4 linked regions of the Ovis aries genome follow. The protein of the gene in region 1 purifies or fractionates together with the protein of each later gene. This does not show direct contact. Links are inferred from orthologs where the notes say so. Each region holds a gene or a part of one and is shown in the gene's direction. Other genes may lie near its edges.

Region 1 (6,372 bases):
TCCCTTCTCCAGGGAATCTTCCCAACCCAGGGATCGAACCCAGATCTCCCGTGTTGCAGGCAGATTCTGTACCATCTGAGCTACCAGGGAAGCCCTCTGTGGAGAAAAGGAACATAGTAAATATATAATTATGTTCGTAATATCTGATTGTCTTTTCCAATTTTAACATTTTGTTGTCAGTATATAAACTTCATTACCAATTTGAAGAAAATTTAGCTCTTGTCTGAAACCACTGAAAACTTTGAAAGTATCATCATATTCTGTAATGTTAACATGCTTAAAGATAATTTAGTTTTTCAACTCTTAACCAGAATTGCTTTATATTCTATAATTCAGGTTTAAATCACTTGTCTTTTTAAAAAGCATCCTAGTGAAATTTTGTTTTTTGTTACTAAGTTATTTGATCCTCCTTCTATACTGAATTATGTATTTTCTTATTATAGCATTCATATTTCTTCAAAGAAAACCATTGTTGACATATTGCTAATTTTGCCTATTGATTTGGTTATCTGCTTAAAAATTACATTATTTTGAAAGTTGCAAAATAATGGTAGTTTAATGATGAAACAGTAAGAATTAATGCTGAAATACAGTTTTTTCCCTCATTCTGAACTAAGTATATTGGTATCTTTTTTTTCTTTAATAGATAGCAAATAATAAAGATGCATTGAGGAAGACATGGAACCCCAAGTTTACATTAAGAAGTCACTTTGATGGTATTAGAGCTCTCGCTTTCCACCCCACTGAGCCTGTTTTGATAACAGCATCAGAGGATCACACGTTAAAAATGTGGAATTTGCAGAAAACAGCCCCAGCCAAAAAGTGAGAATATTCTACTTTAACTGTATTTGAATAATTTAATTAATATTTTTCAGCAGAGAAAGCCTTACTTTATTATTTGCTGTTAAATTCCTCAAATATCTCTTCTAATTTTTTTCCTTACCATGTTATGTAATTTAGGATGTTTTTGCCTTCATACTCATAAGCTAATTTAGGTTGAAAAACTGACCCTTAGGGAGAAATGGTTTGTGAATGCTGATTATAATCTTTATTTGGTGTTTTAAATAACTTAAATTTTGAGAACCCTTTGTCTGCGCTGGAGGTTTCTGTTGTTGTAAGCAGGCATAGTCATGTTTAAAACCGTCAAACCCCAACCCCAATCCTTCCCCATTGTTTACTAGGTTTGGCCTTATGCTGGAGCCGGTGGGGGCAAGAGACCTCTCTTTGATCCTTTCTTTTGATCTTGACCAAAATGTCTAGACTGAAGGGGTACTGTTGCTGCTCTCACTTATCTGCTAAACTTCCCTTGGCCCCTTGGTTCCTCTGTAAGCACGGACAGACATGAGTTGGTATAAACCCCTTTTATCAGTCACCAAGCTAGTCCTGATCCCACTTGGTACTTTCTCTTTCTTCCTTGGATTACGTGGTCCAGAACCCAGCATCTACCAGCAAGGGCCCTTCTACAGTGATAGATACCTCTTTTTATTAAAGAGTAGAAATGAACGTCAAATGGAGGAGAGGACAGAAGTTTTACTACTGACAGAGAATATCTCCTGCCCAATTTGAAAACAATCAGTGACATTCCAGCTGTCACACCTAGACGTTCATCAGACAGCTCAACTGGATATTGCTAAAACCAAGTGAATCTTCATGTAGATCAGGTGTCTTTAACAGAGAAAGGTATTTCCTGGTTACAAACTGTGCCTTTTGTTCTTCAAGTTCTTTAGTTCACAGTGGGCATCATATTAGATGAGAGAATGTTGAGTATCTCATCATATATTCTTGACTGTAACTTTGAAATATATTGAAATTTCTTGCTGGTGGTAGCTTAGTAATAACACCTTCACAAGCAAGTAACAATAGTCTTTGTTTACCTTTGAACTTAAAACTTTGGAAATGAGGAGAGCTATCATATGCCTATTAAAAAAAAATCTGTAATACAATCCAGTTTCTGTTCTCAGTATGGCCAGCATAAGCCATGTAGAGTACTCATACACTCAGTGTTCTGAGTAGTGAATAATCTGTTCTGATGTTCAAATCTAATGTGGACAGTTTCTGCAGGTATTCAGGACAGACATGTTAATCTTTATGGAAATGCGAGGAAATTAAAGTACCTTTGATTGAAATTCTGTTCTGTATGGTTCTGTCCTACGCTGTTTTACCGTGAAGAATCTCATTTAATCTTGTAAATATTTGCTGTTATCCCTATTTTTATATTTTATATTAAACATAGAGGAATCTAAAGTTTCAAAAGATTAAATAATTTGCCTAAAGTTAGCCAATTAGATACAGAACTGGAAATTAAATCCAGAAATTTATGTCTTCAAAACCCTTCTGTTTTCTCTCCGAGTGAGGCTCTTTCTCCCTTTAATCAAATAGATTAGGACAGTGCTAAAAGTGCTGTAACAGTTACTAAAGAATTTTGTTTCTTGAAGCCACAGAAATATGTGATTGATGTTAGGTAGGCTTTATTGTGTCCTGGGGTTGAGAATTGTATATTACCATAGTGTTGATATTTCTAGGGGCGTTTTTATGACATACATTCAGTCATACTGTTTACTACTGACTTTTAGAATGATAAAAACATCCTCCTTTCTCTCTGATTTAGGAGCACGTCTCTTGATGTGGAGCCTATCTATACATTCAGAGCTCATAAGTAAGTGTGTGCTTTTTCTTTGTGTTAAATCAACATCATTGTAAATCAGCCTGATTAGTATATCTTCTTTCATGTATGTATTTGTCGTATGTGGTATTTTTATTGTATTTGGTAGCATTTTTTTTGTAAATGTAAAAGAAAGTGGCAGATAATGTAATGTTAGTGACAAGTATATCACTACCAAATAGGGATCCTTGCTGAAATTAGGTATTATTCGCATGATGTTTAGATGATGTATATATCTCTCTCTTAAAATGAAGTTGACGCAGTTAAGTTTAACTATTAGAAATCCTGATCTTTTTTTCCTTAAAGATAACCTGGTAAAAATACCTGAGACATTTAAAAAATCGTGGCCACATTTCATGCTTTTCCTGTTTCCATTTAAGTTTAAGAAATGTACCTGTTCACTCGATTGAGCACAGAGGTTGGCATACGTTTTATATTTAAAAAGGGTTAGATAGTAAATGCTTTTCAGGCTGCATATTTAATGTTGTATATTCTTGCTTTTAGTTTAGTTTTGTATTATAACATTTTAAAAAGGTAAAAACTGTAAGTGCTTTAGGATTGTACAAAACCAGTTCACTGGTTGGATTTGATCCACAGGCCATAGACCACTAACCACTGGTTTAGCAGAGGAAGAAAAATGAATAGTGCTTTGGTAAATTTTTTATTTGTTGTACAAAATAGAAAAAGAGAAAGCCATTTGAAAAACCAAGCATTCTTATTTCTAACTCATTGTAATACCAAATAGATTTTTTGAGGATGGAAATTGATTTTTTCTCCCAGAGGTCCAGTGCTTTGTGTGGTGATGAGCAGCAATGGTGAGCAGTGCTACAGTGGTGGTACTGATGGACTGATCCAGAGCTGGAACACCACTAACCCCAACATCGATCCCTATGACTCCTATGGTATGTGACTCCCCCAAAATATGAAGGAATCACATAGTTTCTTTTTATGCATTTTATATTGCATATCTATGGATAAAATGAGATGGTTTTGAAAATAAATTTATTTTGTTAAAAAGGGTTTCTATATTTGGGAATCAATTTGATATATATATATATAATATGCTAAAAAAAGAGGGAAAATAATGTATTTTTCCTGCAAAAAGAGTTCCCACCCCCAAGTCTTACTGATTGAAAATGCTGCCTTGATTGACAGTTGTTTTCTTCATTTGTAGGCATGTGTACAGTACTTGACACATTATTATTAATCTGTAGTCATACTTTGTCACTACTCTTGACAAATAATTTTGAAGGAAAATGAATGTTGGCATCATCGTCTTGATCAATTATTACAGAGTGTAGAGGCTAATGATTTTCAAAGTGTATAACACCAATATATTTAAAAGACTTTTAAAAATTAAAAAGTACCCTTTAGATTTGGAAACAGCACCATGAATCAAAAAACTGTAGGATATATCACTAGATATTATCATAAATTCTCTTTCAATTATTTTGATTTTCTCTTTAAATTCTCCATAAATTCTAGAATATGAAGTGTCATATTTGTCATAAAACCATAGTTTATTTTTATTACCATTTTAGATTAATTTCATCACTAAACCTAAGATAAGAAATTCAGTAACTAAAATATTCTCCCAACATTTATTTAGTAATCATTTAACGTATTTTGTGAAAGATAACACCCTCTCCTGCTGCAGTTCTTTTCTGGATTTCTCTGTTTCATACTTTTTGTCACTTCCTTTATCCCTCTTTCAGAGATTAGTTGATCTCATTCTGTCCCAAGCCAACTCTTTCCCTTTCGCTGTTGACCTCCTTCTCTTGTTTCCTTTGAGACTGCACTGTCTTTCTTTTTTGCTGCCTCTCTCTTTTGCACTCATCTGAAGCCTTACCCTTTTTGCTCTGTTTCCATCCCCTGAGCATATAGTAAATTCAAGTTTCTCCCATCCTGGGCAGGAAGAAGCCTTTTGTGACTCCATTTCCCTCTCTGGTTCTTTTTTTTTTTTTTTTAATTTTATTTAAATTGGAGGCTAATTACTTTATAATACTGTGGTAGGTTTTGCCATACATTGATATGAATCAGCCATTGGTGTACATGTGTCCCCCATGCTGAACCCACCTCCCTCCCCATCCCACCCCTCAGGGTCATCCCAGTGGGTGAGCATCCCCGCCCTGAGCACCCTGTGTCATGCATCGAACCTGGACTGGTGATCTGTTTCACATATGATAATATACATGTTTCAATGCTGTTCTCTCAAATCATCCCACCCTCGCCTTCTCCCACAGAGTCCAAAAGTCTATTCTATACATCTGTGTCTTTTTTGCTGTCTCTCATATAGGGTCATTATTACCATCTTTCTAGCCTCTCTTCCTTCCCATGTCTCTTTGGTCTGCTGCTTCTAAGTCGCTTCAGTCGTGTCCGACTCTGTGCGACCCCATAGACAGCAGCCCACTAGGCTCCCCCGTCCCTGGGATTCTCCAGGCAAGAACACTGGAGTGGGTTTCCATTTCCTTCTCCAAGGCACGAAAGTGAAAGTGAAGTCGCTCAGTCGTGTCTGACTCTCAGTGACCCCATGGACTGCAGCCTGCCAGGCTTCTCCATCCATGGGATGTTCCAGGCAAGAGTACTGGAGTGGGGTGCCATTGCTTTCTCCACTCTTTGGTCTAGAAAACACAATTATAAGTTACTGATTCCATGTCTTTCACTGTACATCATTCCTTTTCATTCTGTCTTGTGGCTATGCCACTTAAATACAAAAAAGTATCAATAGCTATCTAACTGGCTGATCCAAGGGATATTTTGCAATTCTTATTTTACTTGATGTACTGGCTATCTGAAACTGTGGACCACTCTATCCTTTTTGAAATCTTTTCACTATAGGCTTTTTTGACACAACTCTATGACAGTTTCTATTCCCTATCCATCATAAATTCCTTTTATTTTCTCACCTGAAAATACTGACATTTTTTGAGGCTAGACCCTAACTCCGGAGAAGGCGATGGCGCCCCACTCCAGTACTCTTGCCTGGAGAATCCCAGGGACGGGGGAGCCTGGTGGGCTGCTGTCTGTGGGGTCACACAGAGTCGGACATGACTGAAGTGACTTAGTAGTAGCAGTAGACCCTAACTCATTTTTTGCATTGTACACATATTCTTTGGTAGACTGAATCCACTTTGTGGTTTTATATATTGTTGACTCATCAATCTCTTTTTTAAGCCTGAGGCTACCTACACAGCATTTCAAAATGGCTGTCTTATTGTCCATAAATCCCTACAGCACTTTTTCTTCTTCCATATATTCTTAATTTTTTTGGTCACAGCATGCAGCTTGGGGGAATCTTAGTTCCCCAACCAGGGATTGAATCCGTGCCCCAGCGGTGAGAGCACCAAGTCCTAACCACTAGACTTATTAGGGAAGTCCGTTTTCAAATATTCTTTGTATATTCTCTATCAGGTGGCAGCACTACCAAACTTATCTAAACTAGAAATCCAAGAGTTATCCTTGATTCTTTATACTATTTTACTATCATTTATTAATTACTATACCTTTTTGTTAATACCCCCTAAATATTTCTTGAATTTACTCCTTTTCTGCCCCTTTTATCACTGTCCTTGCTTTGATTTTCATCTTCACTCTCCCAGTCTTTTTAAACAGTCCATTTGCCTTCATCTTGTTTCTTTCCAATCTCTTCTACACTGTGATCAGAGTTACCAGATTAAATACTTGCTTCACACTGCTGCTTCTGGGAAACC
Region 2 (6,372 bases), on another chromosome or scaffold:
GTTTGCTGGTGAGTATATTCTGCCTGCTCTCCTTCTAGAACTTTTGCAGTATAAATAGTACATTGTTTGGTGATAGGCACAGTGCAGCATTTTTTTATGCAGATCTTTTTAGGGATAGTCACAGTGTTAGCTATTGAGAGAACAAATAATGTAGGCATTTTGGACTCAACCTTTCTTAATTTTTCTGGTTGTGAATGTGGGAACTTTCTCTTCTCTGACTTGTTACTTTAGCAGTTAGGAGAAAAAGGACTGGATTGTTTCTGTTCATGGTTTTTTTTCCCTCTTATGGTGGAAATCTTAATTCTCATCTAACAATGCTGTGGCTTTGGAAATGTTTATTAGTTTTGTCTTTAATTTTAAGTGTAGCTTTTGATTCTGACTTCCTTTGTGAATTTCATTTGAGAACCTTCTATATCAGTCACTGAAGTTACAATGTTCATGTTAAAGGTGAGCACCAGGGTTTGGGAGTGTAATAAGGCCTCTGTCCTTTTGTGTCAACAAGTAATTACTATGTGTTAGATGGAAAAATTTGAAGCACATGAAAGAGAAAGGGATTAACCCGGGGTGATAGGGGAAGATCTCTTTGGGAGAGAATGTCTGAACTGGGGTGTGAAAGATGACTAGGAATTTGACAGCTGCACAGGATGATGGGGTTGTATGCTTCAAGGCTTCAGTATTGGCTGTATTATATTGCTGACTCTCATGACTTCTGTCTTTACCTCTGACCTTTCCATGGAGCTCCAGATATAGATATATGTAGAAAGATATAAATATCTGTGTTATATATATCTGCTGTGGTTTTTCTACTTGGGTGTGAAACAGGCATTTCAAATTTAGTTTGTCTAAAACAGAATGCAGTTTTTTCCCCAAAGTGTATCCTAATTAGTTGTCCCATTGCAGTAAATGGCATCACCATCTACCCAGTTAGTTGCGCAGCCAAAACCTGGGAGACATTCTTGAATCTGTTTCCCCTCACTTCCCACATCAAATCCGTCAGTCACTCCTGTAGATTCTGCATGTATTGCAAATCAGTTCTCTTTCTTCCATCTCTACTACCACTTAGCTCATCTTTCCACTGGTCTTTCTAGACCACGTGGTCTTTCCTCTAGATTATTGCAGTAATCTAGTTGCTTTCCACTCATGCCTTCTGCCCCACCACTCCAGTTCACTCTTCACCCAGAGATGGATCACTCACTCCCTTCCATGGTTCTTAGAAAATTCATAATTTCTACCTTAGTTTGAACCTTAGTTTATAAAATTTGCCCCTATGAGCCTATCTCATATCATATTCCCTCTTAATAACCTCATTCCATTCACAATAGTCTTCCTTCTATTCTTTGAATATACCAAGCTTACTGCCCTGGATAGTCCCTATAATAACATGTGTTTTTGAGCTTCTTGTGACTGGCTCCTTATCATTTAGATGCCAGCTTTAATGCGTCTCAGCAATGCCTTCCCTGGCCTCTCAACCTGAAATTTCTTCCCCACTCATCCCTTACCACATCATCCTTGTTTTTACCCCCTCTTTGACTGCACCACATAGCTTGTGGAATCTTAGTTCCCCAACCAGCGGTTGAACCCTGGTCCTCAGCAGTGAAAGCACAGAGTCCTAACCATTGGGCCACCAAGGAATTCCCCCTGTTCTCTTTACAGAGCATTCAACACCATCTAGTTATTGCCCTGATGAGTTGTTATCTTTCTCCATTAGAATATAAAACTGTATTCAATGTCCTGTGATAAAGCGATAATGGAAAAGAAATATATGTATAACTGAATCAGTTTGCTGTGCAGCAGAAATTAACATTGTAAGACCACTGTACTTGAATAAGTAAATCTTTAAAAAATTAAGAAAAGTCAAAAGACACCCCCCCTCCTAAAAGTAAACTAGCGCAAAGAAATCATGGCCTTATTTCTTCCCTCTCCACAGTGCTAGAATTTAAAAGTAATTATCATTTTAAAAGAAAGAGTTTAGGAGCCTTGGAAGTGTGAAACTGGTTGATTGCAGTATAAAGTGTTGGTGCTAGAGTAGGCGGAAGTGGTGGTCCCAGGGCTGTGGGAAAAGGTCATGGAGAAATAGGCCAAGTTTTAATCAAGAGACAGGAGCTTGCTCTTCCGTAGTAGTGATAGAGATTATCAATGATACTGCATGAGAGGAGGTCAGAGAAGGCAGTGGACAGAACTCGAAAGGCCTTTGCTTTTAAGAAAACAGTATCTTTTCAGAGGGCTTCTGAAATTTCCCTTAGGAAAGCTGAGTACCTTATATCAAATAATTTTTGAAATGTATTATGTAGACTCCCTTGTTTCCTTTGACTCATAATTCTGTTTCACTCTCCTGGTCAGTTCTACATGTGGCTTTTGTCTTTAACATTGGCACTTCATGCTCTATCCTGAATCTGCCCGGACTGAGTGCAAACCCAGAAGAGCAGCAGTTCAGAGAATCTGCCCTCTGTACTTTTCCCTGGTCTGTGCCCTGCTCACTCACTGATCCTAGTCAGGGCCAACCCCTTTGGTCTCTACTGTTTCTAAAGCTGCAGGCAAGGATTCCTACTGTCTCTGTACCTTTAACTTAATTGTTCTTTCATAACGTCCCACTCTGTGTCTGGCTCATGGAAAAATTCTGGGTGTATTCGGAGAAAAGTAATTTTGCACTCAGCCTTTAATAGTTTGGAAAAGTCAGTGGTGCGGAGTGAATTGACAGAGGTAGCTTCCACCTCCAGGAACGGTAGAATGATACTCCAGACGCCGTGGACTCGGTGTCCTGATGCGGGGTTCTCCTGTAATTGTGGTGCCCCGTGGTGGTCATGTTTCTGCACTCACTTTTGAGGAAGTACACATGGTTCTGTCGAATTTGGCTACACAGCCTTTAAATTGAGTGATTCAGTTCACAGTGATATTAATATCGTGTCAGGTCTCTTCTACCATGTCATTCATAGACACCATCTGGGAATTGCCATCTGGGACAGGAAACCTTGGCTGTCCTACAGAAATCGTGTCTTCAGGTTGGACACAGCATATGCCATCACCGTGTGAACTGAGAGTAACTGTTTGGTGTGATGTAGCTAACATTCTGGTTGCTTGTCCCACCTCCTTTCAGTCACTTTAAAAGATGATAATCTGTATCTAACCTGATTGAGTAAGTTTTCTCTGGTTTTCCATTTTGGTCTATCCAGCCTCCTCTGGAAAGCCTGGCAACTGTGGAAGAGACTGTGGTTCGAGACAAGGCTGTGGAGTCCCTGAGGCAGATCTCGCAGGAGCACACGCCAGTGGCTCTGGAGGCTCACTTCGTACCTCTGGTGAAACGCTTAGCGAGTGGGGATTGGTTCACCTCTCGCACATCCGCATGTGGTTTGTTCAGCGTTTGCTATCCCAGGGCTTCCATTGCTGTCAAAGGAGAAATTAGACAGTAAGATATGGTATTTTTTAGTTATTTGGGGTTATTGGAAGCTCACAGCTGACAGGATACACACTACCCTGTTACCAGTGAGTGGCTGGTATCAGGGTAGTCAGATCGATGACAACAGTTACCAATGTCCAGGTGAAGGTACCAGTGGGTTTTCCTTTGTTACTTCTGTGAGTAGAAGTCTAATGCCTGATGTTCGTAGGAGAAAACCTCTGAAATTTCTGTATGTGTTGGGGGGATGCTTAATCAGTGGCATGTAACAGGAAATACCTTCATTATTTTGCTGCAGGTACTTCCGTTCCTTGTGCTCAGACGACACACCAATGGTACGCCGTGCTGCTGCTTCCAAATTGGGTGAATTTGCAAAAGTTTTGGAATTAGACAGTGTGAAAAGTGAAATCGTTCCTTTGTTTACTAATCTAGCTTCAGATGAACAGGTAGGTTAACTCTTAGTAATTAAAGTACACAAATATGCGCTTACATTTGAAGAATTTCTTTGGATGTTTTGGTTCTCATGTTAGTATCATTTTTTTTCAGAATTATTACTTAATTCTGGCCTGGCTAAAGTTTAAGATTACCCATCCCAGTGTCCTTATAGTTCTTTCTTAGCCAAACTGTGATTTCCTTTTCCATTTAGCATCTGTTGAAGGGGAGTTGAGGAATTGGGAGCCATAATTAGGAAGGAAGACCAAAGCCACATTAAAGAGTAGCTATACCTTTGGGTACTGCAGGCTGAGTTATTGTGGGACAGTAATGTTTCCTGGAATTTTGGCATTCAGGTAAACAAGCATAGCATGTATTGGGAAGGCTCTTTGACCCTCTGCATCCTCTCTATGAGTGTATGGGATAACTTTGTATGAGGGCAGTTATAAATCCAAGAATCTCCATCTCATCAGTGTAGAAATTAGCAATAATAATGGGTTTCCCTGGTGACTCAGTGCTAGTAAAGAATCCATCTGCCAATGCAGGAGACGCGGGTTCAATCCTTGGTTTGGGAAGATCCTCCGGAGAAGGAAATGGCAACCCCCTTCAGTGTTCATTCTTGCCTGGGAAATCTCACTGGAGAGGGGACTGGCAGGCTACAGTCCATGGGGTGGCGGAAGAGTCAGACATGACTTAGCGACTAAATAACAGCAAAAAGCAATAATAATATGCTAGTAAGCACCCAAATGAATCTTTTTCAGCCTGTTTTAAGTGGTTTACATATGTGAAGTAATTCAGCCCTTACAACAGCCCCAATTGGAAACAGGCACAGGAAATTGGAGTAAGTTGCTCATGGTTGCATAGTGAGCAGTGTTGGAGTGCAGACTTGAGTCTAGGCAGCTTAGCTCCAGAGTTGTGACCTTCATTGCTGAGCTGTAGTGCTCTTCTTATGGTGCTTTGGAGAATCAGCGCCCTGAGTTCCTGGACGCTAGAAGAACAGTTTACCTAGTTCTGCCCTCAGATCACTGTATGTTTACAGGATCCAGAGCAGCAGATACATACCTTGAGTCTCATGTTCAGATTCTAGATTTGAAGATGATAAATCTTTCAAAATAATTTTTTAAATTTGTTAAAATAATATATACAAAGCAGTACAAAGTGAATATGCATCTTAAGTAATACAAGGCATGTTATCCTGTAACTTTCGTCTGTGAAAGGATACAGAACTTTGATAGCCATTATCCAGGAAGCCCAGCATGATCTGCCTCCCAAACACACTCCCCTCCCAGTTCCTACTCCCTACCCCCTTAAGACTGTAACACTGTTTCTTGATTTTTGTGGTAACCACCTCCTTACTTTTCTTTGCATTTTTACTATTCATAAAGTATGGTTTAAAACAACACCATCTAACAGAAATACAATGTAAGCTACCTGTTAATTTTAAGTTTCACAGTAGCCATAGTTTAAAAAGTGAAAAGCAGGTGAAATTGATTTCAATAATGTATTTTATTAACCCAGTATATCCAGAGTAACTACCATTAGAATGTGTGGCGCTAGTTGTGTTTCAGGCGCTCAGAAGTAGGGAGTAAGTAGGATAATGGTTGTCACATTGGAGAGCACAGGTTTAGAATCCTTATTTGAGATTTTGTTGATTACATTTCCCATGGTATAACGCAATGTTTTCTTTTGTCCTGCAAAATTGGTAGTTGAATCTAGAGTGGAGATTTGTGAATTTTTTCTGTAAAGGGCCCGATAGTAAATATTTTAGGCTTTGTGGACCAGACAGTCTCTGTTGTAACTACAGAGCTCTGCTGTTGTGTGCCACACACTGTCATATGCAGACTAACGGGCATGGTGCTGTTCTGGGAAAATTTTATTTACAGAAACTAGCTGCTTTCCATATTTGGCCAATATCTGCCTCAGCCCTGATCTAGAGGCTTAATGAGAGCTGATTTGATATTTTGGGGGCAGTAAGATCACTTTGTTAGATGGAGGCTGCTTTTCATCAAGAGGCATGTCTTGTTGTGGTATTAACAGCAATGGATGCTGAAAGAATTATTTGTTTAGTTGTAACGTGTGTGTGTATTCACTGTGACCACTGATAGAATTGCTGCTCCTTTCTTAGTCATTCACTGAGAAAGTATTTATTGAGTACATTCTGTGAATCAGGCACTATTCTTCATGCTGGCTTTCAGTGTTAAATGAGGGACCGTGCTGTTGTGCCCTTTATATTTTAATGAAAGAAAGCACAGTAAACAGATAAAATATTAGGGATCAAAACGATGATGGAGGGACTTCCCTGGTGGCTGGGAACCTGCCTTGTAATGCAGGGGACATAGATTTGATCCTTGGTCAAGGAACTAAGATCCAGCATGCTTGGATCAGCTGTGGAGCAGCTAAGCCTTCCTACCACAGCTGCTATGCCCTTGTGCTACAACTAGAGAGTTGGTGCGCTGTATCAAAAGATCCTACATGCTGCAGCTAAGACCCCAGTGCAGCCAAATAAACGTAAAAACTGTTGGGAATTGGATAGGGTACCATAGTGGTGG
Region 3 (6,372 bases), on another chromosome or scaffold:
AGAATCTCCTTCGACTGCCTTCCTGACCATTTGACCTGACTTGGTGCCCAGGACCAAAGCCCTAGGCCAGGCTCCAAGCACCAGTCCACATTCCCCGCTCAAGTTCCCCAAGCCCTGAAGGAGACAGGATGGAGATGAAAGACAGCAGCCGGACGGAGGCTAGAAGAGGGGGTGGAGGGATTCTGTCTGCAGCCCTAGTGCCGAGAGCCTCCACCCTCTTGACCCATCAGCAGTCGAGTGAAGTTCTATGTGGAGAAATCACAACCAGTCCTCGATTATAATGTAGAATTATTTTTAGCATCCTTTACTTACCTATGGTCACCTTGTTAGGTCTCTAAATCTGTAAACTCATAAAGATATTATGTTTACCATATTTTAGAAATGCAAATGCCATAACTCAGCAAGGAAAGATAAGATATACCCATTGGTAATACAAGCATTCATAAGCTGAGGCAGTAAGCATGGCAGTTCAGGTCACAGACTTTAGAGCCAGGCTGCCCAGAGGGGTTTAAATCCCAATTCTGACAACTTGCTAGCGGAGCAACCTGAAGCAAGTCACTTGACCTCTGCATAGTAATTTACTCATCTGCAAAATGGAAATGATAGCACCATTTTAAAAGTCAAAGTAAAACTTAAGGTAATCTGAATCTGAACACTTGGATCAGCATCTAACATGTAATTAGCACTGTATAAGTATTTGTTCTCATTAGTATGCTGTGCCCCTATTCTGATGCTGTATCTATACTTAGATGGCCCATCTGATTTGTAGTCACAGGTTACTTCATACCAACATCACCACCTTTGATGTCTAACTGCTAGCAAATCCCCTCTTCAGTAATATTTGAAAGCAAAATGCTTATTTTCCTTCTTTCCCAGGCCCAACACAGAGATACTTTCATTGAAGAACGCTATGGAAAATACAACATCAGTGATCCTTTAATGGCGCTCCAGAGAGACTTTGAAACCCTGAAAGAGAAGAATGATGGCGAGAAGCAGCCAGTGTGCACGAACCCGCTCTCAGTTCTTAAGATGGTGATGAAACAGTGCAAGAACATGCAGGAGCGCATGCTGTCCCAGCTGGCTGCTGCTGAGAGCCGGCACCGCAAGGTGGGTGACGCTGACACGAGCCCGCAGGCTCCTGTGACAGCTTTCTAAATAGTGCCTGATACTTTTCTGTCAGCTGCCAGGTCTCATGGTAGTTCAACTGGGAGGTCTCACAGGTGTCCAAAAAAAAAAGAAATCAGCTTACCTAGGAGCCAGGGGATAGAAAATGCAGGTTATTCCAAAGGTTAAATTTAGGGAGTATGTCAGACACATTATTTTAGATGACATTCCTTCTTGATACGACACTCCAAAACACTTGGTTTGTTTTTTCAACTCTTGATCACCCAAACTTTGGCAACAAACTGGGGCTTGACCAAGCCTTGTAGCTGAACAGAGTGTTCTCTATTTGCTTACTTAAGTGATAAATAGAAAGATTAATAGGTATTTGGGTATTTGGGGAATGCTGTATCAGAGAGAGAGAATTTACCTGACTGTAAACATACAAGCCAATAGATTATTTTTATTAAATTTCTGGTTTTGAGTTTCATTGCATTTTACCTCTCATGAAACCATAAACAGTCCCTACGGTTGTTTACCTTAAAGCTGTTCTCTATTAGGAATGTGTGTGTGTGTATGTGTGTGTCTGTCTGTCTGTCTCCAGGTCTTACAGCATCTAAGATAGGACCTGTGCTTTCCTCTACCTCATCTCATAGGAATTCTTCTAGTGCTTGTGATTTCATTCCCCGACTTGTCATTTATAGCTCACATTTGGCCTGGAAAAGATGCTTGGCTAGAATATGCATTTTTAAGAACTGTTGGTTTAGATTTATATCAACAAGGTGGGGGGACATCAGTGCATTTAGTAGGAAGTGTTTTATTCAGAAAAAATTGGGTTAGCAGCTGCAGTTTGATAGATCTTCGTTTACTTTATGGTTACCTGCTTTAGAGAGCCATCTGCTTAAAGTGCATCTGACAAAGTGCTTAAGGTCTTAGGTCTTGCCCACAATTTTTCTTTCCCTTCACAGAGTCCAAACAAAAAGCCAGAATGGGAGTTCTTAACCACAAATAGGTCTCAGATGTTCCATGACCCCCCAGAAAATACAGTGAATGCCAGAATTTATGCATTTTATAGAAAATGAATTTTTTTTTCCTATCCTTACTAGAATTCTCAGAGTTCTCCAAGACCCAGAAAAGTTTAACCTCTGGTTTAGACTGAAGTAATCTGAAGACATTTATGCTCCAATTTAAAAGATGTCACTGAGTTAGGGTTAGTTGCCTAAATTTGGGGGCTTTTACATATTATGAGAAAATCTACACAACATCTTTATTTAATAGACAAGCCTGTTTTCCACTTCATACCTAAAGTAATTGAGTGGTACTGAAGGGCTGGCTGGCTATCAAGCCTGTTGAAGTAGTGTTGGGATAATTTATGGTCCTAGGTGATTGGGGAGAAAAAGAGTTAAAAATTTCAAGATTTCCTAATACTATATTTCAGTGTAAGATAGCATTAAATGTTTTAAATCACTGCCTATCTATTCTTAAGTGTTTTATCAAAGCAGAACATTGACTTCATTAGACATCACATAGTACCTAGAGGCTTATAATTAGCATGCATATAGTCCCAGTTTTCCTGAGAGAATTCCAGTTTAAGCCTGGTGCCTTGGCAGAGTTGTTAACGATACCCACTTTGGCTCTTAGACATATTAGTGATTTAAACAGTGAATTACATGGTTACTCTGCTTAGATCAGCCCTGGGATTTCTTTGGAAGGAATGATGCTAAAGCTGAAACTCCGGTACTTTGGCCACCTCATGCGAAGAGGTGACTCACTGGAAAAGACTCTGATGCTGGGAGGGATTGGGGGCAGGAGAAGAAGGGGACGACAGAGGATGAGATGGCTGGATGGCATCACCAACTCAATGGACGCGAGTCTGAGTTAACTCCGGGAGATGGTGATGGACAGGCAGGCCTGGCGTGCTGTGATTCATGGGGTCGCAAAAGGTCGGACACGACTAAGCAACTGAACTGAACTGAGTCTACCTCTTCCCATTCCCTCTCTTCCTCAATATTAGAGACAACCACTTTTCTTCTAATGTGTTATTTTGTTAGCGAACTTCCATATATTTTTTCCATATTTCTAACTAATACATTGCTCTCTCACTTTATCAGATAATTTTAGACACTTATATTTACTTCCTTTTATTATAGATGTGGATTTTTAGCACCCCACTTCCCTTTCCTCTTCACCCTGCCATCTTCCCAAAATAAAAATAATCCTCTTTCCTCACCTTTATTCTCTGTCATATCTGTTATTACCAAATCTGGAGGCTGTCACATTCTGTCTCTTCAGAGTATAAACATCTGGTGTATTCCTGGGCGGTAGATGCCTGGCTGGGCATTCTGTGTACAGGAATCAGGTTGAAGGGACAGGTAACTCTTGAAAATACACACAGCTGGACCTAGTTCCCTTGTCTTCCATCCCACACCTTACCTCTTCTCTGCAGTGTCTGCCACCTGCAGATACCCCTATGTCTTTTGGGTCCTACAGGGCAAAACAGCTTCCTCCCTCATACCAAGTAGCTACCATCCCTCCAGCCTCTTTCTTTCTTCAGAATATTAAAAATTTGTCTGCCAAAGTCTCTCTTTTTAGGGTTTTTTTTTCTTTTCATCCCATTTCTATAATTTTAGACGCCTCTCTGGAAAGGAGAAGCCAAAATCTTTTTTTAACCAGAAGGAAATAAACCAGAATGTTTTCATTTTTGTATTTAAAGAGGAGTCCCAGAAAGTCTTCTTCCTCCATTCATAACAGTTGTTAGTGAAGACAAACGATGAGAAATGGCCATGGGGATGGCAGTGCTCTGGCTTGGGGAGGTCTGGGCCAACCCACCTCTGAATCATGAGCAGAAGCTATGAAGAAATCCATAATTATTGGAATAGTATGCAGTTGTAGGCAGGATTATGTGGGGAAGTGCCCCTTTAAACCTGTACCCTCCTTAAAGTTGGGCTTAATTGCTTGGCACCAGGGTAAGTGGAATGGGTAGACAGTTAATTAAAAGGCCTTCTGAAAAATCTCGACTTCAGATCTCAATAATTAAGCCTTCTCGTATGCAGGATGAAGTCTAGAGAATCTTTTTACTCCTTATCTAACTGTATATAACACGTATATAATAATTAAGCAAGACACAGTTAGGATGTCACCTATTTGAAATGTTTAATTTCAGGCTTCATTCTCTGGTACCTCCAGTGATTTGAGCATCACGGGGAAAGCCTCAGCTTTCAGCTTTCCATGAATCTGCCTTAGTTCACCTGTCCCCTAATCCCAACAAACTTATTAATTCTCTGAAACCTTTTCAGTCCCTATAGCTAATGAGTTCCTCTTTTCTGTTTACATGCCACTTTGTGTGAGGTAAAGTATATATTGTATTTTTTCTAGAACATATCTTTCACCCTTCTAGACAGTGTGCTCTTTGATGGCCCTGACTAAGATTTACTTACTTATTTATCTATGGAATATGATCTTGGATGTTTAGATAGGCACTTACTGTTACATTGTATTCTAAGTGTGAGTCCCTATATTTGGAAATGATTTTTTTAATTCTTTAAAGGTAATCCTAGACCTTGAAGAAGAAAGGCAGAGGCATGCACAGGACACAGCTGAAGGCGATGATGTCACCTACATGCTGGAGAAGGAGCGAGAGCGGCTGACTCAACAGGTAATTAAGGTGGAAGGGCTCAGAGCAGCATTTGCCTAGAGTAGCATTTCCTGAAGATTATTCTGCAGGGTATAAATTGGTGTTACTCAAAAAAAAAGGGCTTTGTGATCAGATAACTCTGGGGATTACTGTATTAAACAAAGTTAAAGAAGCTTCCCTGGTGACTCAGATGGTAAAGAACCTGCCTGCAGTGCAGGAGACCTGGGTTTGATCCCCGGTGTTCATGTTTGATCCAGTGTTCATGCCTGGAGAATCCCATGGACAAGCTACAATCCATGGAGCCACAAAGAGTCAGACACGACTGAGCGACTAACAAACAAAGAGGTTTCTAACTTCAATTGTTTAGACTTTGTAGTATGCCAAAGCATGCTGTGAGTCTTCAAGATTAATATAGGGTAATCTGTGTTTAGCAAATCTATATTTTCATAAAATCTGTTAATATAGATCATTCACTATGGACCATCATTCCATAGAACACACTTTGGGCAACACTAACTTTGAACTCTCAAAACTTTTTTTGACTTAGGACTCCTAGTAAAAAATACATTTTACATCACATACACATATATACATATGCTTGAAACAAAAATCTCATTAAATCATACATAACCCTTACTGCTTATAATACACATTAATATTTTCACTTCTGTTTCATTTGTTCACATCCTTAATGACTCACTAAATGGTTTCCCCATCCATTCATGGGTCTCAGAGTTTGAAAAACACTGACTAATAGGGTTCCTTGAACCCTTTCCCTCTCATTTTGTTCATTAAGTAGGGTTGGGATGATGGTTAAAGCCAATGGCATTTGTGTAGAAAAATGATTCATATGCAGCTACTTATGTTTGTTTGTCTTTAAGACCAGAAAGAATTATTACTGAAGCTTTAAAGGTTTTGTTTTCATCAGCATTCATCACAAAATCCAGTTTATATGGCTTTCTGCTTTCTGTTTTGATTGGTTCTAATCCTCTGAACTTTCCACAGACCTAGAACACAATGACAATTCAGATTCCCACTAATAATCCTGAGACAGTAAGAACTAGAAGTGGCTCCTAAATCATCAAAGCAAGATTAAGTCGTCGTGTGTACATTTTTACGTTAGGTGTTGTAATACTTAAGAAATAGTTGATGTAAGCACATGGCATGTAACAGTTGTCAGTGTCTCTTTGTTTCCTTACTCTAATCCAGATGTGTGGTGGCATTCTTTTGCAGTTGGAATTTGAAAAGTCCCAAGTGAAAAAGTTTGAAAAAGAGCAGAAGAAACTCTCCAGTCAGCTGGAAGAGGAGCGCTCCCGCCACAAGCAGCTGTCCTCCATGCTGGTCCGTGAGTGCAAGAAGGCCACCAGCAAGGCCGCGGAGGAAGGCCAGAAGGCAGGAGAGCTGAGCCTGAAACTGGAGAAGGAGAAGAGCCGAGTGAGCAAGCTGGAGGAAGAGCTGGCCGCCGAGAGGAAGCGGGGCTTGCAGACGGAGGCCCAGGTGGAGAAGCAGTTATCTGAGTTTGACATTGAAAGGGAACAACTAAGAGCAAAGCTGAACCGAGAAGAGAACCGGACCAGAACTCTGAAAGAAGAAATGGAGAGTTTGAAGAAGGTGGTGAAGAATCTAGAGGCTTTGCA
Region 4 (6,155 bases), about 8.1 Mb from region 1:
TTTAACATACGAATATGTGTATCATATATTACATAACGTAGTTACTATATAAAGTACTGGAAGTTGTCACCAGTGCTGTTCTGGCCTGCACTTTGTCACTGGTGCTGTTCTGTGCCTGCTCTACAGTTCTAACTTTGGGCATTTTTCTAAACTAGAGCTTCATATTTTTCTGGGCAGCAAAAGACTTAGAAATGGTATTTTGACTATCGAGTAGAAATACTTAAGATTTGGGAGTAAAGATTAGGGACTAGCAAGAGAGATTGGGATCCACTTTTCCAGTTTGTTTTTAATGTGAGAGACTCACCCAGTTTCTGTTCTTGGCAGGCAGTTAACAAGATCAAAGAGATTGCAGTGACTGTGAAGAAGGAAGATAAAGTGTAAGTTTGCAGTGAACTTTGTCAGAACCTTGACTTCCCATGGCCAGATTGGATGCAGAAGCGTGCTGGAATACCCTGCATGGACTGGGGCTGATTGGCTCTTGCTAAACCCCTTGCTGTACCCCAGTCCGTGTAGTACAAGAGTGGCTGTAGACTGCAGTTGAAAAGCTGTCACTCATGAAGTCTTTGACTGCAATTACCATCTGTCACTGGTAATCTGCCCTAAAGATTCAGAAGACAAAGGTTGAGGGCTGAATTTAGAGGCTAGAATAGAAACCATCTCCACATTGCAATAGAGTCCGATAAGAGGGGCTTTCAAGGCCTGATGCAGGTCCCACCCTTGTGTCCCAGGGAGCAGAGGAAGCTGCTTGAGAAATGTGCCATGACTGCTCTGAGCTCCAAGCTGATCTCCCAGCAGAAAGCCTTCTTCGCTAAGATGGTGGTGGACGCGGTGATGATGCTTGATGATTTGCTGCAGCTTAAAATGATTGGAATCAAGAAGGTGCAAGGTGGAGCCCTAGAGGTGAGCCTGCCGAGGCCTCCCTAGGAGGCTCTTGCTTTCACATCAACCCTGTAGGCAGCTTGGCTTAGGAGGACAGCACACGTTAGAGGAATAGAGAGAGCGCACTCGGGCTGAAAGCCAGACTGAAGCTGTGTTCCTCATACTGTGGCTATAAGCTGTCTCCTATAGGTGCATTTTGTAACCTCCACAGACTTGTATTACTTGTCAGCAGAATCGAAGGGTGAACTGGCTGATTTTCAGAATCTCAGTGTTAATGTCTGAGGGGACAGGGCTAGCTCTGATAAATTATCTGAAACCTTCTCAATAAATATAAGTACTTTTCAGTATATTCTTCTCCAAGTGGTACAAGCAGGCTCTCCCTTCTTTTATTCATTTATCTTGAACAGATAGTACAGAAGTCAAGCTGTATAGAAAGTCCTAAAGGAAAACAGAAATGTCTCCTACACCTCCCCTGCCCCAGAAACCACTCTTAACTGTGTGTATTCTTCCAGACTGTGCATCTATAAGTATAAATGTAAATATTGTTTTCTGAAACGAATGCTCACCTGTAATGCATAGTGTCCTGCAACTGGCTTTTGTTTATTTAACAACATATTTTTTCACTTATTTAAATTAAAATAGTGGCTAGTGTCTACTGTATATGCACAACACAATTGCATTTCCATTCTGTTCGTCTCCTCCTCTTCTTCCTGTCATGGCACACGAGAGTGGGATGAGATTCCCTTTATGTAATAAAGCTGTAAAGAATCTGAAAGTCATCTGAGCCGTTCCCATGCCTTTGGCCCCCAGATGGGCGTGTTTCAGCCCATTCTCTATGTCATGGCTTGCTGACATTGTCTTTACATACTGCTTTGATCTCAGTGTGCCATCTTCTGTTCCAGAAACCCTTGAGATTAAATTGGCATTCACTAAACTAGGGCTCAGAACTGTAATTTTAACTGGTGAGAAAGCCAGGGGCTGCGAGCCACACATACGTTCAGTCTGTCTCTTTTACTAGTCCTTTGTCCTGGTAATGCAATTGTTATTTTGTTGACATATAGTTGATTTACAATGTTGTATTAATTCTCCTGTTCAGCAAAGTGATTGTTAACACATACCTAATTCTTTTTCATATTCCTTTCAATTATGATTTATCACTGAATATTGAAGAGTAGGACTTTGTTTACCCATTCTGTCTAGTAGTTTGCATGGTAACCCCAAACTCAACCCATTTCTCCTCCAACCCCCGACCTCCATGGCAACCACAAGTCTGTTCACTTTGTGAGTGTTTCTGTTTCATAGAGAGGTTCATTTGTGTGGTATTTTAGATTCTACATGTAAATGATATCATAGGCTATTTGTCTTTTTCTTTCTGACTTCACTTCCTGAATATACCATTCTTTATGGAGTGGGAAATGACTAGGTCATTTAATAAGATCTGAGATTGAGCCTGCCTTCTCATAGTATTAAAGTCACTCCCAAGTGCTGTGTGTTTTCTCTCATGCCCTTATGTTAAATCTGCCACGCAGCAAGCTCTGTTTTGGAATGAGTGGTGTAGTAGTTCATATTTTGAGGGATTAAGATGAGAGAAGCCACAATGATAACTTGAGAACTGCGGGAAATTTCTGACTGTTATGACCTTTTATTTTCATTTCCTAAAGAGAGGAAGCATCTAGGCTACAGCACACAGGTGTTTGTACGCTCACGTGCAGTACAGGTAGGGAGGGATATGTGTACTTATGTGCAGTGAAGACTGGGAGGTGTCGAGTTGGAAGGACAGTGCATCCCTTGGCACGTGTGCTTTGGAGGGTCAGTCCTAAAGGACAGCCCAGACAGGCCTTTCCCATGTTTAGTATCTGCAAGCTAAGTGGTTTTCCTTATCCTGAAGGGACAACCAAAATATGTTTTCATATTTTTCCTAGCATTTAGGATGATGGAAAAACTTCATTACAGTAGTGGAATAAAAACATAATTAACCCTTTCAGGTTCACAGAAATGGATATGCGTTAGTCCAGCACACCACTAACTTGATTTTATTTCATGCCAGTGCTGAACTGTTGAACCATCTGATTTTTTTAAACAGGAGTCCCAGCTTGTCGCTGGCGTCGCATTCAAGAAGACTTTCTCTTATGCTGGCTTTGAAATGCAACCCAAAAAGTACCATAATCCAATGATTGCCCTTTTAAATGTTGAGCTTGAGCTGAAAGCTGAGAAAGATAATGCGGAAATCAGAGTCCACACAGTTGAGGTAGGTCCTCCCGCTGGCAGCGGCATGAAAATGGGCAGCATTCTGGGCCAAAGCCTTGGGCCTTGGTGGTCATTTCGGGCTTAGCGTTGTTTCTCAGGTACCTTGTGGGCTCCTTTCCCCTCCGATGCCCCTAAGTATTGATGTCTAAATACTAGGCCCACTCTTCTCACTCTACTCTCTCTGACCTGGACCTAAGGAGGTTTGGATAGGGCAAACCTGCTGAAACATTATCTTTTGGCCCTGGGGAAGGGGCTTGCAGGAGGCTTTCAGCTATAAAATGAGCCCTGTATTTTGATTCCTCTTATTTGGGTAGATGTGAGCTCTGCCATTCTAGACTGTGTCCCATGCTGCTGGGACTGGTGTGCTCCCAACATTGGTATCAGCAAGGCTATCTCTTTGGATGTAGCATGGTCACCCAGCCATAAGCAGCTGTTCTTGGAAAATCCATCCCCAGCACAGAATGGCCTTTGAAGGAAAGGTCTTGTCACTGGGGACTCCATGGGTGCAGTGCCTCAGAGGAGCTAGAACTTAGCTGGCCAGACTGCCTCACACCTTAGCAAATACCAGCTCTGGAGTGGCTCCCAGTGCTCAGATTCCTTGCTGCTTTTGTGTTTGAAAGTTGTAGATGGTTCCTAAGTTACCTTATAGGGTCCTTGTTTATTTGAACTGAGGGGAGTCTGTTCTGTTTATCCTCTGTTAATTCACAAATAAATCAATATTTTCTGGGTCTCTTCAGGATTATCAGGCAATTGTTGATGCTGAGTGGAACATTCTTTATGACAAGTTAGAGAAGATCCATCATTCCGGAGCCAAAGTCGTCTTGTCCAAACTCCCCATCGGGGATGTAGCCACCCAGTACTTCGCTGACAGGGACATGTTCTGTGCTGGCCGAGTGCCAGAGGAGGATCTGAAGAGGACAATGATGGTAACCAAACTTTCTCAGGCTGCTTTTAGGTCTTTCTGGACCCAGGGGTTTTCACTTACCCCTAGTGTATTGGAGTGGTATATGAATCTGGGCTTGTCTTCTTAACTCTTTTTGTCATAAAACACTTCAGTTCTAGTGTGTGCATACTTACTATATAAGAGTTAATCTAACCAAACAAGTCAGGAAAGCTGATTTGTGAGGGAACCTAGCAGCAGTGCTGCGATTAGCTGGCTGACTCCAGTCTTGATGCTGCAGGCCGGGTTTCCTCTCTTTTTTTTTTTCGCATCTTGCGCCTGTGGAATCTTAGTTCCCTGACCAGGGATGGAACCTGCACCCTCGCACTGGAAGCATGGAGTCTCAACCACTGAACTGCTAAGGAAGGCCCTCCTCCCTTTCTTCTTAAGCATCTTGCCAAGGTGCTTTAAGTTTTAAAGCACTGATCATGACTTCAGTCACTGCACTCAGCACTCTAGTTTAGGGAAGAGAGTATTGGGTAAAGCTTTCTAACTGGGCTTGTTTGCCCTTCATGTGTCTTCATTCTGTTTTGTTTTCTCCTCTTCCAGAGGGAGCCTTGAGGTCAAGGGTGAGAGTGGCTCATCCAGTGTATCTGGGGCACCGTGGCAGTCTAACATGGCAGTTGGCTTTAAAATTAGGTAGCAGGATGCTTGCGTCCCACCTCATGTGATCTGTCACTGCCAGATGATTTTGTCCTGTGTTCCTCAGGCTTGTGGAGGCTCCATCCAGACCAGTGTGAATGCGCTGTCATCAGATGTTCTGGGCCGCTGCCAGGTCTTTGAAGAGACGCAGATTGGAGGCGAGAGGTAAGTGGTAGGCCTGGGCTCCCTGTTTGCTTAGCTCATGAGACTTGCCTGATGGCCTTCTGCTGTCTTTGGTTTGTGGCGTATATATAACAGGCCTCCCAGGTGGCACTGGAGGTACAGAGCCTGCCTGCCAGTGCAGGAAATGAAAAGCGAGTTCGGTCCTTGGGTGGGGAGGATGCCCTGGAGGAAGAAATGGCAACCCACTCCAGTATTCTTGCGTGGAGAATCCCATGGACAGAGGAGCTGGCAGGTTACAGTAGCGTGTGCTATTGTCTTCTGAGACTTTAATCTCTTGGGGTGTATAGTGCTCAGTTATATAAAGTGTTTCAGGAAGAAAGAAGGTCAAATCAGGGCTACAGTCTGACTCCACAGTCTTTTATGCCCCTGTGGTACAGCCCTAGACCTTCCCAAGAACACGCCTTTAAGGGCAGGCTTGGAGAACTTTAGTGAGGGACAGAAGAGCAGCTGCTGAGTGTTGGGAGGACTTGGTGAGGTCAGAACACTGTGGGTTGGCAGCAGAAAAGAGTTCACAGATACAATTTGATCCTGGGTGTAGGTACAATTTCTTCACTGGCTGCCCTAAGGCCAAGACATGCACTATCATCCTCCGTGGTGGTGCAGAGCAATTTATGGAGGAGACGGAGCGGTCCCTGCACGACGCCATCATGATTGTCAGGAGGGCCATCAAGGTACTAGACCGGGGGCTTCCAGCCTGCACAGCCTACTCTGCCTCTTGAGCTGATGCAACCCTGGATTTGTGTGGTGATCCCTTTCCTGTATAACCTGTCCTTCCATGTGGGGCATGTGGGCTCTGATTGTCTCATGGATCATAAAGAAACATCCTCAGTCTCTCAAAATAAGTCATGTTACCTTAAAAGCTAAGACTTGTTCTTGTGAGCACCTGTGGAGCTGATGGAGTCAGCCATCCCAGGGATTGTGCCAGTGCCCTCAAGGTGTAGATGACCTAGAAGAGGGTCAGAAACCGTATGGTTCACCAGATTGCAGTTGGGATGTGCTAGGCGTGGTCCATGTCCTGGCTTCCTGTGGCTTGGGCTGGGGGAGGGAGTGAGGAGCCAGCCCTCCTTCTAGGCTAGGGGTCCTGTTGACTGAGTGGTCCAATTTGGCCATGGCTGGAGCTTAGAGAGGGAGCTCCTTGAATTTAGAGGTGAGTCTGGTCTTTGCAGAATGATTCGGTGGTGGCTGGTGGTGGCGCCATCGAGATGGAGCTCTCCAAGTACCTGCGAGATTACTCAAGAACCATTCCAGGAAAACAGCAGCTACT

The links. The genes of interacting proteins can lie anywhere in the genome.
Region 2: the proteins of STRN (region 1) and PPP2R1B purify together in Homo sapiens (affinity purification with mass spectrometry; 5 studies listed by BioGRID and IntAct, with this or other methods). This does not show direct contact. The link is inferred for Ovis aries from reciprocal best matches to the Homo sapiens genes STRN and PPP2R1B.
Region 3: the proteins of STRN (region 1) and CTTNBP2NL purify together in Homo sapiens (affinity purification with mass spectrometry; 5 studies listed by BioGRID and IntAct, with this or other methods). This does not show direct contact. The link is inferred for Ovis aries from reciprocal best matches to the Homo sapiens genes STRN and CTTNBP2NL.
Region 4: the proteins of STRN (region 1) and CCT7 purify together in Homo sapiens (affinity purification with mass spectrometry; 3 studies listed by BioGRID and IntAct, with this or other methods). This does not show direct contact. The link is inferred for Ovis aries from reciprocal best matches to the Homo sapiens genes STRN and CCT7.

What each region holds. Positions count from the first base shown.
Region 1 is NC_056056.1:87,164,784-87,171,155, forward strand, and holds part of STRN (striatin), read left to right. Parts: intron 1-646; coding exon 647-822; intron 823-2,608; coding exon 2,609-2,656; intron 2,657-3,442; coding exon 3,443-3,564; intron 3,565-6,372. UniProt on the Homo sapiens protein: Calmodulin-binding scaffolding protein which is the center of the striatin-interacting phosphatase and kinase (STRIPAK) complexes.
Region 2 is NC_056068.1:21,771,396-21,777,767, reverse strand, and holds part of PPP2R1B (serine/threonine-protein phosphatase 2A 65 kDa regulatory subunit A beta isoform), read left to right. Parts: coding exon 1-8; intron 9-3,170; coding exon 3,171-3,403; intron 3,404-3,689; coding exon 3,690-3,837; intron 3,838-6,372. UniProt on the Homo sapiens protein: The PR65 subunit of protein phosphatase 2A serves as a scaffolding molecule to coordinate the assembly of the catalytic subunit and a variable regulatory B subunit.
Region 3 is NC_056054.1:89,886,097-89,892,468, forward strand, and holds part of CTTNBP2NL (CTTNBP2 N-terminal-like protein), read left to right. Parts: intron 1-876; coding exon 877-1,107; intron 1,108-4,648; coding exon 4,649-4,756; intron 4,757-5,968; coding exon 5,969-6,372. UniProt on the Homo sapiens protein: Regulates lamellipodial actin dynamics in a CTTN-dependent manner. Associates with core striatin-interacting phosphatase and kinase (STRIPAK) complex to form CTTNBP2NL-STRIPAK complexes.
Region 4 is NC_056056.1:95,262,326-95,268,480, forward strand, and holds part of CCT7 (T-complex protein 1 subunit eta), read left to right. Parts: intron 1-324; coding exon 325-377; intron 378-728; coding exon 729-900; intron 901-2,962; coding exon 2,963-3,127; intron 3,128-3,863; coding exon 3,864-4,052; intron 4,053-4,775; coding exon 4,776-4,873; intron 4,874-5,429; coding exon 5,430-5,562; intron 5,563-6,057; coding exon 6,058-6,155. UniProt on the Homo sapiens protein: Component of the chaperonin-containing T-complex (TRiC), a molecular chaperone complex that assists the folding of actin, tubulin and other proteins upon ATP hydrolysis.